2 linked regions of the Chlamydomonas reinhardtii genome follow. Each later gene encodes a partner of the first gene's protein in a complex. Links are inferred from orthologs where the notes say so. Each region holds a gene or a part of one and is shown in the gene's direction. Other genes may lie near its edges.

Region 1 (4,191 bases):
CTGGCGGCGTGTCAGTACCAAAGTGCAAGCCAGCCCAAGGCACCCTACCTACCTGCCTAAGCCGGCGGGCACACCTCCCGCGGCGCGGAGACAGTCATGCGCGGGTGGGTATACCCGGGATAGTGTGTTCGGTGTGCAGCACTGAATGCGCTTACGTCGGAGTCCTCACATGGAACTTGAAGGCTATGTGGCCACGCTATGTGGCCCAAAAGGCGCTTTACCAGAACCTTGGGGACTACCCGGAGGGCAGGCAGTGCCAGAATGCAGTGCCGTGGGTGGCGGTATGTCCGGACGAGTGCATGGCATGTCCGCATGTGCCTGCATCCGTCACCGCGTCACGTATTTCTAAGATGCCAGCACGTCCGCATGCTGACAGGCCTTGTCCGTGGTGTTCGTTCTGCCCCTTCCCACCAGGCGAGCGGCGCTGCCCGAAGCCCCACCCGCACCCGGCTGGGGCGTCGGGCGCCGCCGCTCCCCCGCTTGCATGACTGGCTCCTCGCCGGCTGTGAGGCCTGCCCGCTGGCGGCTGTGGGTGCTGGTGCTGGCTCAAGTGCTGATGCCTTCTATGCAACATATGAACTGCTGTGGGACTGGATGGCGTATGGCTGTGCCAGGCATTCTGCATGCGGGCACGTATGTAGTGAGTTGATGGCCGTGGTCGATGGGTGTGCGATGGAACAGTGCTAAGGCAGGTTGGTGAAGTTCCGTAGGGTGCAGCTGATTTCCAGATCCCAGCAGATGGCAGACAACTTGCAATTGCAGTGCAGGAGCGCGCGGAACGATGGGTGCTTGACATGGCACACGACTACCGGTGACAACAGGCCAACAGCTAAAAAGTTCCGTAGGGGCGTGTCCGCAGAGTGCGCGCGCACGCAGGCCATTATAGGTAGCCCTGACTGGCCCTGAGTTCCGGTGGAGGTTTGCATGAAAAGCACAGTGGCGATATCCTGAGGTGTGACGGGAGGCGCCCGGTGCGGTTCATGTTGAGGGCACGCTCAGCCGAACACATCCAAATGGTCGAGGTGCTGGAAAGGAGCAGGGTTGCGTTTGTTACCGCCGCTTCTCAGTGCGCCTCCTAGTATGATAGCCACACGGAAAACACGATGCCACAAAAGAAGCGGCTTGAAGTTGTTGGCGTGGCGTTCGAGCAATGTGAGGGCAGTCGCCGATTCAAGAATCCCGTCCTGTAACCTTGAAACGAGGGTCATATACTCCCACCCTGTGAGCATGTCAGCACACACCGGTCACCTATGTCAGCCATCGGTGAGATGTCAGCGCCCCGGCGCCAGGCCGAGACGACTTCAACACGGCGGGGAAGGGAGGGGAAAACCCGGCACGCTCCGGCCATCGCGCCACACTAAACGTTTGTCGCGGGGGCCATTGCGATGGTCATCACTTACAAGTTCAAAGCAAAGCATTTCAACACATATCTGCGTCAGCGAGCTGTGTCTTTTGCGCAAGTAGTTTTGCCAGGTTTCTTGCAGTGCTTGTTTACGCGATCCAGCACACTTTAGATGAGCATAATGTAGACAATTCATCGTTAAGACCTCATGACAATACAAACACACGAGCGCGCGGAAATGGGCGACGCGCCGGGAAGGTCGAGGCGCTGAACTATAGCCTAGCGAAAGCATGGAGACAGTTGTCAGGTACACGCCGCTATGCGGCGTTGGCGAGGACTCGCCGCTGTGCTCACTGTTAGAGATTGACGACTACACCATCCTCCTGGACTGCGGCTGGGACGACAGCTTTGATGTTGCGCTGCTGGACCCAGTGCTCAAGTGCGTATGTGTGGCTCAGGGGAACTTCAGGAGGGCGGGTGAACTGGAAGGGATGGGCAGGGGGAAGGGGCGTGGGGAAGGGGTAGAAAGGGCCAAGGGAAGGGGCGTGTCTTTGGAACTCTGCCCAAAGAGTCCCTGTGTCCGGCGTGTGCCGCCGCCTGCATCCCTTTCCGCCTCCACCGCCACCCCCTCCCACCCCTGTCCATCCCCATGCTCCCCGGCACTCTCCCGCCACCTCATCCTCTCCCTCACCACCACCCCACCAGGGTGCTCCCGCGCATCGACGCGGTGCTGCTGTCCCACCCCTCGCCCGCGCACCTGGGCTCACTGCCCTACCTGGTGGGCCGCTGCGGGCTGGCGGCGCCGGTGTTCTCCACCAAGCCCACTCGCCGCATGGGCGAGATGTTCATGTTCGAGGCGTGCCTGGCGCACCAGGTGGGGAGGGGGAGGGGGAGGGGGGGGGGTTGCGGAGGGCGAGAGGGGAGGAAGGGGAGAGGGGTAGGGGAGCGGGGTGCTGTGAGTGTGAGAGATGTTGAACGCGGGATAAAGGGGTTGCCGAGGGTGGGAGAATGGGAGAAAGGGCTGGGGGAGAGGTACAGGATGGCTGTAGGGGATTTGTTTGCACGATGCCTGTGAGCGTCCGGGTGAGTGTGGGCCACTGGGGCGGGTTGGGAGGTGCGAGCGTGTCAAGACAGCATGGGTGGTTGTGTCTGCGGGCGAGGCCGGGACAGACTGTGTGGTCGTCCAATCCCGCGCACGGGTCTCCATCCTCGTATCCCACGATCAAGGCCTTCCATGCGGTCAGCTTACCGCCCCCTTCCTTTCCCTTGCTGTTCATGCTTCCCCCCCTGCTGCAACGACCTGTCAACATCACCGCGTCTTGATCAATCATGCATGGAATCCCCCTCTTATCTAATCACTCCATTCGCCGCATGAACGGCTACCCCCTCCCTGGGAATCGTGGTATCCAGGCCGTGTCGGACTTCGCCGCATACGACCTAGACGACGTGGACGCCGGGTTCCGACTGCACCCCCGCTGGACCGAGCTGCGCTACAGCCAGAAGCACCTGCTACTGCCGCCCGCGGCGCCCGGTGCTACAGCCGGCGAGGCGGGCGCAGCGGGGGCGGCGGGCGGGGGTCAGGGGCCGGCGGGCGGCGGCATTGCCATCACGCCACTGCCTGCGGGCCGCTACCCGGGCGGTGCAGTGTGGCGGCTGACGCTGTTGGGCAGTGGGCAGGAGGTGGTGTATGCGGTGGACTTCAACCACCGCAAGGAGAGGTGAGGCGGCGGGATGGGGGCGGCGCGTGGGGAGGGGGGGGGAGGCATTGTCTGTCGCCATGCACTGTAAGCTGTAGAAGCAACGGAGAGAAGGGGAGGCAGCATGCGCAATAAAGCCGGGGGGGGAGCTCAGAGGCCTTGCCATCGGTGATGCGACGCTGACATGACGGTGCCCTATGCGTTGCGCCGCCGCCCACTCCCTCTCCCCCGCTGTGGGCTGCTTAGGCTTCTGGGCCCCGGTGACTCGGTGACGTGGGGATTGGAGTTGACTGCCGGCCTCTCCGCCACCCCCACCCCCCACAGGCTTCTGAACGAGACCACTTTCACCACCGCACTGGCGGCGCTGCAGCCGGCGCTGCTCATTGGCGACGCGGTGAACGGCCTGGCGCCGCCGGCCCCGCCCCGACACAAGCGGGATGAGGAGTTCCTGGGTGCGTGCGCGTCATGGCCGGGCGCGTTTGCCGTTTGTGTGCACGCTGGGGCGTTGCTGGGCGTTACTTCGTTGCTCGCTCGCGGGCCCATGGCTTGGGCAGTGGGAGTCGCGGTGGCTGGAACCCTCCCTGTGATGTATGCACTCCGTCTTGCATACGGCTCCCCCCTCCGCTAGTTTGGCTTCGTTTGGTTCAGTTTGAGCTGGTATTCACAACCCCCACCCACTACCACTTCCTTAACTCTTCAAGAATGTACCCCCCTCTTGGTGTGACAGACGCCATCACGGCCACGGTGGAGGGCGAGGGCAACGTGCTCATACCCACGGACGCGGCGGGGCGAGTGTTGGAGCTGGCGCTGCTGCTGGACGAGCACTTCGCGCGGGCCAGGTGCGTGTGTGTGCGCGTGTCATCACCTCTTTACTTCTTGTTTGCATGTGGAGGTATATGTATGTGTGTTTGTGTGTGTATATGTGCGACAAGGTGTTGGGGTCTCGCCTCGTCGACTCAGGAGTTTCGCAGATCGGGCACTGCCCCTTCCCACTCCCCACGTGGCGCCACCCACCCACAGGATTGCGGCCACGCCTGTGGTGTTGTCGTACACGATCAAGACGGTGCTGGAGTTCGCGCGGACGCAGCTCGAATACCTGGGCAGCGAGATGGTGCAGGTGTGTGTGCGTGTGTGTGTGTGTGTGTGTGTGTG
Region 2 (3,826 bases), about 1.8 Mb from region 1:
GTGTGCGCTTGTGCGCTTGTGCGCTCACCAATGCGCACTCCGACTGCTGGCGGCACCCAAGGGCTGGCATGTATTAAATCTTTGCTGCCTAGCTTCTCAACAACGCACCCAGTAGCAACGCCTACTCCTTCAGAACCTCCTCCACTCTTCTCCGGCCGGGCCCCCCCCCCAAATCGTCGTACAAAGTAGTATGCATGGACCCCACCCACCCGCCCCACAGGCCAGCTCTATGATGAGCAAGGCACTTGGTGTGTACCAGACGTACGTGGAGTCACTCAACGACGACATCAAGAGGGTCTTCCACGTGAGCAGCGGCGAGGCCAAGGGGGGCGGGGCCAAAGGGGGCCAAGGGGGCTGGTTGGGGCCCCCTTGAGGGACAGCGCCCGGTAGCTCGACATGCGGCGCCTGCGGCTTGGCCCAACCCGTGCTGACAGCCCCGCAGCGGTTTTCCCATTATGTACTTACTGTTGCAGTTGTTGCCCTCGTCCAGCGCTCTCCGACCGCTCCACGCGCTAACGATGTCTCCACCCCCTTTCCCTTGCCCCTCTGCGTCCCGTCGCGGCCCTTCAGGAGCGCAACCCCTTCAAGTTCCGGCATGTGCAGACGCTCAAGAACCCCGCCCACTTCATCTCCGACTACAGCGGCCCCTGCGTCATCATGGCCACGCCCTCGGGGCTGCAGAGTGGCGCCAGCCGGGACTTCTTTGAGGCCTGGTGCGAGGACAGCCGCAACACCTGCATCATCTGCGACTTCGCGGTGCAGGTGAGGAGAGGCGGGCTGTCAGTTTAGGGAGGGGCGTGTGTGTGCGTCCGTGCGTCGGTGTGCACGCTGTAGTGCTCAGGGGCGTTCACGTCTATGTGTTTGTTCGTCTGCGCGTCTGTGCGGGTGCAGTGCCAGGGCCTAAGGGAGTGGACGGGGACGGGTGCTGGACAGAGGCTTCCGTCACGGTGCTCCGGGCATGCCGCTTGCAGCCGGCATAACTTATGATTCGGTACCATACGTACCTCTCACGATGCCTAGCTCACCACCGCCGCCGCTGCCGCCCTCTCCACCGCAGGGCACTCTGGCCAAGGAGATCCTGGGCGGCCCCAGCTCCATCACCACCCGGGAGGGCCGCAGGGTGGGTGCCGCCTGGCCCGAGACCTCGCGGGGGCAGGGCCCGGTCCGCCCACCTCGAACGCCCCCTCCTAGCCAACGCGCTCGTTCAGTACTTAGCGTGCGGCAACGCTGGGCAAGACCCCAATGCCCCATCACTTAGCTCCGGCCCTGGGCGTCGGGCTTGCACAGTACTAACGGCAATGCCTCCCCAATCATGTCCACCGCCGCCAGGTCCCGCTGCGCATCGCGGTGCACAACATCTCCTTCTCCGCGCACGCTGACTACGACCAGACGTCCGGCTTCCTGGACGCGGTCCGGCCGCCGCACGTGGTGCTGGTGCACGGCGAGTACGGCGAGATGCGCAAGCTGGCCAAGGCGCTCAAGGACGGCGCCAAGGCGGCGGGGGTGGCGCGCGAGGTGTACACACCCATACTGGCACAGACCGTGGCGGTGAGTGGGCTGTAGCAGGGGCGTGGTTTGGGGGCGGGGGCTGGGGCAGGATTGGGGGTGATGGGGGGGGCGTGTGGCGAGATTTGAGCAACCAGGCCGTATTAGGCCTCATCATGTATGCAATATTAGTACATCTTCGTTAATATGTATGTGTTTGTTCATGTGTGTGCATGCGCCCGGCCAACGCCCCGCTGCTGCAGGTGGAGCACAAGCCCGACCGCAGCGTGCGGCTGCAGGGCCGCCTGGGCGAGAAGCCGCCGCGTGAGGGCGCGGCCGTGCGCGGCGTGCTTGTGCGGCAGGGCGGCGGCTTCGCCACGCAGCTGCTGGCGCCCTCCGACCTGCCGCGATACACCAAGCTGCTCAAGGGCAGTGTCACGCAGCGCCAGGCCATCAGCGTGGACGTGCCGTTCACCGCCATCCGGTTGGCGCTGGAGGTGATGTTTGAGGGCGTGGAGGGAGCCGGCACGCTGCCCGTGGCCACGGCACCGGACGCGGAGGGCGGCAAGGTGGGTGTGGGTGGCGCTGGGTGCAGGCGTGGGTGCAGGCGTGTGGTGCGGGGCTGGGCGCAGATATGGCTGTGAGGCTGTGATTGCGTAAATGCCGTTTGGCGGCATTCACACAGCTGTGGATCTGTGGAGCAATAGGACTGTACTTCAGGTACCCACCCTAGCCTGCTCGCATCTTCACACTGACTCTGCCCTCCCGCTTTGTCGTCCTCCGCTTCGCAATGCTTCGTGAAGGGTGGCGAGAGCCTGGCGGTGGTGGTGGGCGAGCTGGTGACGGTGCGCTACGTGCCGGCGGACGACGCGAGCGGCGTGGTGTCGCACGTGGTGTTGGAGTGGGAGGGAGGCCGGCAGGGCGACATGGTGGCGGACGCGGTGGTGGCTGTAGTGCTGCAGGTGAGGGGGCGGACTAGGACGCGATCGCGGGCTGGCGGGCGCTTTTGAATGGGCACCGGGTGCCAGGCGTGGTGGGCGGGTGTTGAGGATGTAGCGGGTGCATGGGACGGCAATGGAGGGCAGGGCGCCTGCAATCTGGGGTCACTTCATGTTTGCTCCAGCACGCTCTGAGCCCGCAGTTTCCCATCGCTCCGTTCCCATTACAACACAGTCCATTGGCGAGCCGCCCGAGGCCACCAGCGCCGAATCCGCCATGCTGGCGGCGCGCGCCGCCGGCGACGAGGCCGCAGCCGCAGCCGCCGAGCTCCACCTGATTGGCGCGCTGCTGCGCGGCCAGTTCGGGCCGGCGGCGGTGGACGAGGCGGGCGGCCTGGTGCGGCTGGACGTGGACGGCGTGGAGGCCGCTGTGGACTACCGGGCGGGCAAGGTGGTGTGCGGCGAGCCGGGGCTGCGGGCGCGCATCGAGAAGAGCCTGGACCGGCTGGCGGCGGCGATACGGCCCGCGCCGCTGGACCGGCCGCATGACTAGGAAGACAAGGGCGTAGCGGGGCTGTGGGGTTATTGCTGGAGGAGTAAGATTATGTGGTCGGAGTACATGGTGTCGATTGTCAAGCGAGCGTTCAGGTGGGATAGAATGCGCTTGGTTGGCGGCGGGTCCTACGCTCCTTGGCGGGATCTGTACTTCTGCTTTCTGACCGACTCCGTGTCTGCAGGATGGATAGGGGTAGTGCTGCGCGCCGAACTGAAGTATATGTGGGAGTCCAGTAAGCAGTTAGGCGGCGACACAGTCTCAGACCGCACCGGCAAGTAATGCCCACCACCGCCGGCACCGCGCATAACCGCATATGAATGCAGGAGCAGACCGACACAGACAATGCCAGTCCTCATGTAACAACGTGTCGCAGCACAAACGGGCGCTGGCCCCAGCCCCGGCGGCAACGAACCAAAACCGGGCGCAGCACCTGCCTTGCATCACATGCCTCACTCCACTGCACTAGTGCATCTAGCCTGCTACAGTTTTGCAGAGGCTACTCTTGCCTCTATGGTGATGCCATCATACGCACATAATCCAGTTCTACCCGCTAGATACCCCATTCGTCTCATCCATGTCTACCCGCTAACACCCGAATTGCAAGAAAGCGAAAATGCCTGCCTGCGCTTGCGAAATTCTGTCCCGACCCCTATTCCCCCGAATGGTCCTCTTAGGTCTAGCCCGAATCCTACGTAGTTTCAGTCTCGTTGGCACAGCGTTCACACCTACATCCACAGCCCGTGTGCGGACTGCCGCACTGCCACACTGCCTGCATACACGAGAACCTATCTGCTCCTCACTACGCCAACGCCGATTGCCCCCACGCCGGTCCACGCTCAGGCTTATC

What was found. The genes of interacting proteins can lie anywhere in the genome.
Region 2: CHLRE_12g487600v5 (region 1) and CHLRE_12g498050v5 share a complex: the UniProt entries of both Arabidopsis thaliana proteins name them as parts of the CPSF complex. The link is inferred for Chlamydomonas reinhardtii from reciprocal best matches to the Arabidopsis thaliana genes CPSF100 and CPSF73-I.

Annotation. Positions count from the first base shown.
Region 1 is NC_057015.1:1,470,844-1,475,034, forward strand, and holds the start of CHLRE_12g487600v5 (uncharacterized protein), read left to right. Parts: upstream 1-1,391; 5' UTR 1,392-1,632; coding exon 1,633-1,781; intron 1,782-2,047; coding exon 2,048-2,216; intron 2,217-2,752; coding exon 2,753-3,060; intron 3,061-3,363; coding exon 3,364-3,491; intron 3,492-3,766; coding exon 3,767-3,878; intron 3,879-4,059; coding exon 4,060-4,156; intron 4,157-4,191. Other genes in the region: CHLRE_12g487652v5 (uncharacterized protein), read left to right, coding at 1-104, 415-488. UniProt on the Arabidopsis thaliana protein: CPSF plays a key role in pre-mRNA 3'-end formation, recognizing the AAUAAA signal sequence and interacting with poly(A)polymerase and other factors to bring about cleavage and poly(A) addition. Required for antisense-RNA-mediated gene silencing.
Region 2 is NC_057015.1:3,282,623-3,286,448, reverse strand, and holds the end of CHLRE_12g498050v5 (uncharacterized protein), read left to right. Parts: intron 1-220; coding exon 221-304; intron 305-570; coding exon 571-762; intron 763-1,057; coding exon 1,058-1,120; intron 1,121-1,329; coding exon 1,330-1,548; intron 1,549-1,748; coding exon 1,749-2,054; intron 2,055-2,288; coding exon 2,289-2,447; intron 2,448-2,658; coding exon 2,659-2,976; 3' UTR 2,977-3,326; downstream 3,327-3,826. UniProt on the Arabidopsis thaliana protein: Component of the cleavage and polyadenylation specificity factor (CPSF) complex that play a key role in pre-mRNA 3'-end formation, recognizing the AAUAAA signal sequence and interacting with poly(A) polymerase and other factors to bring about cleavage and poly(A) addition.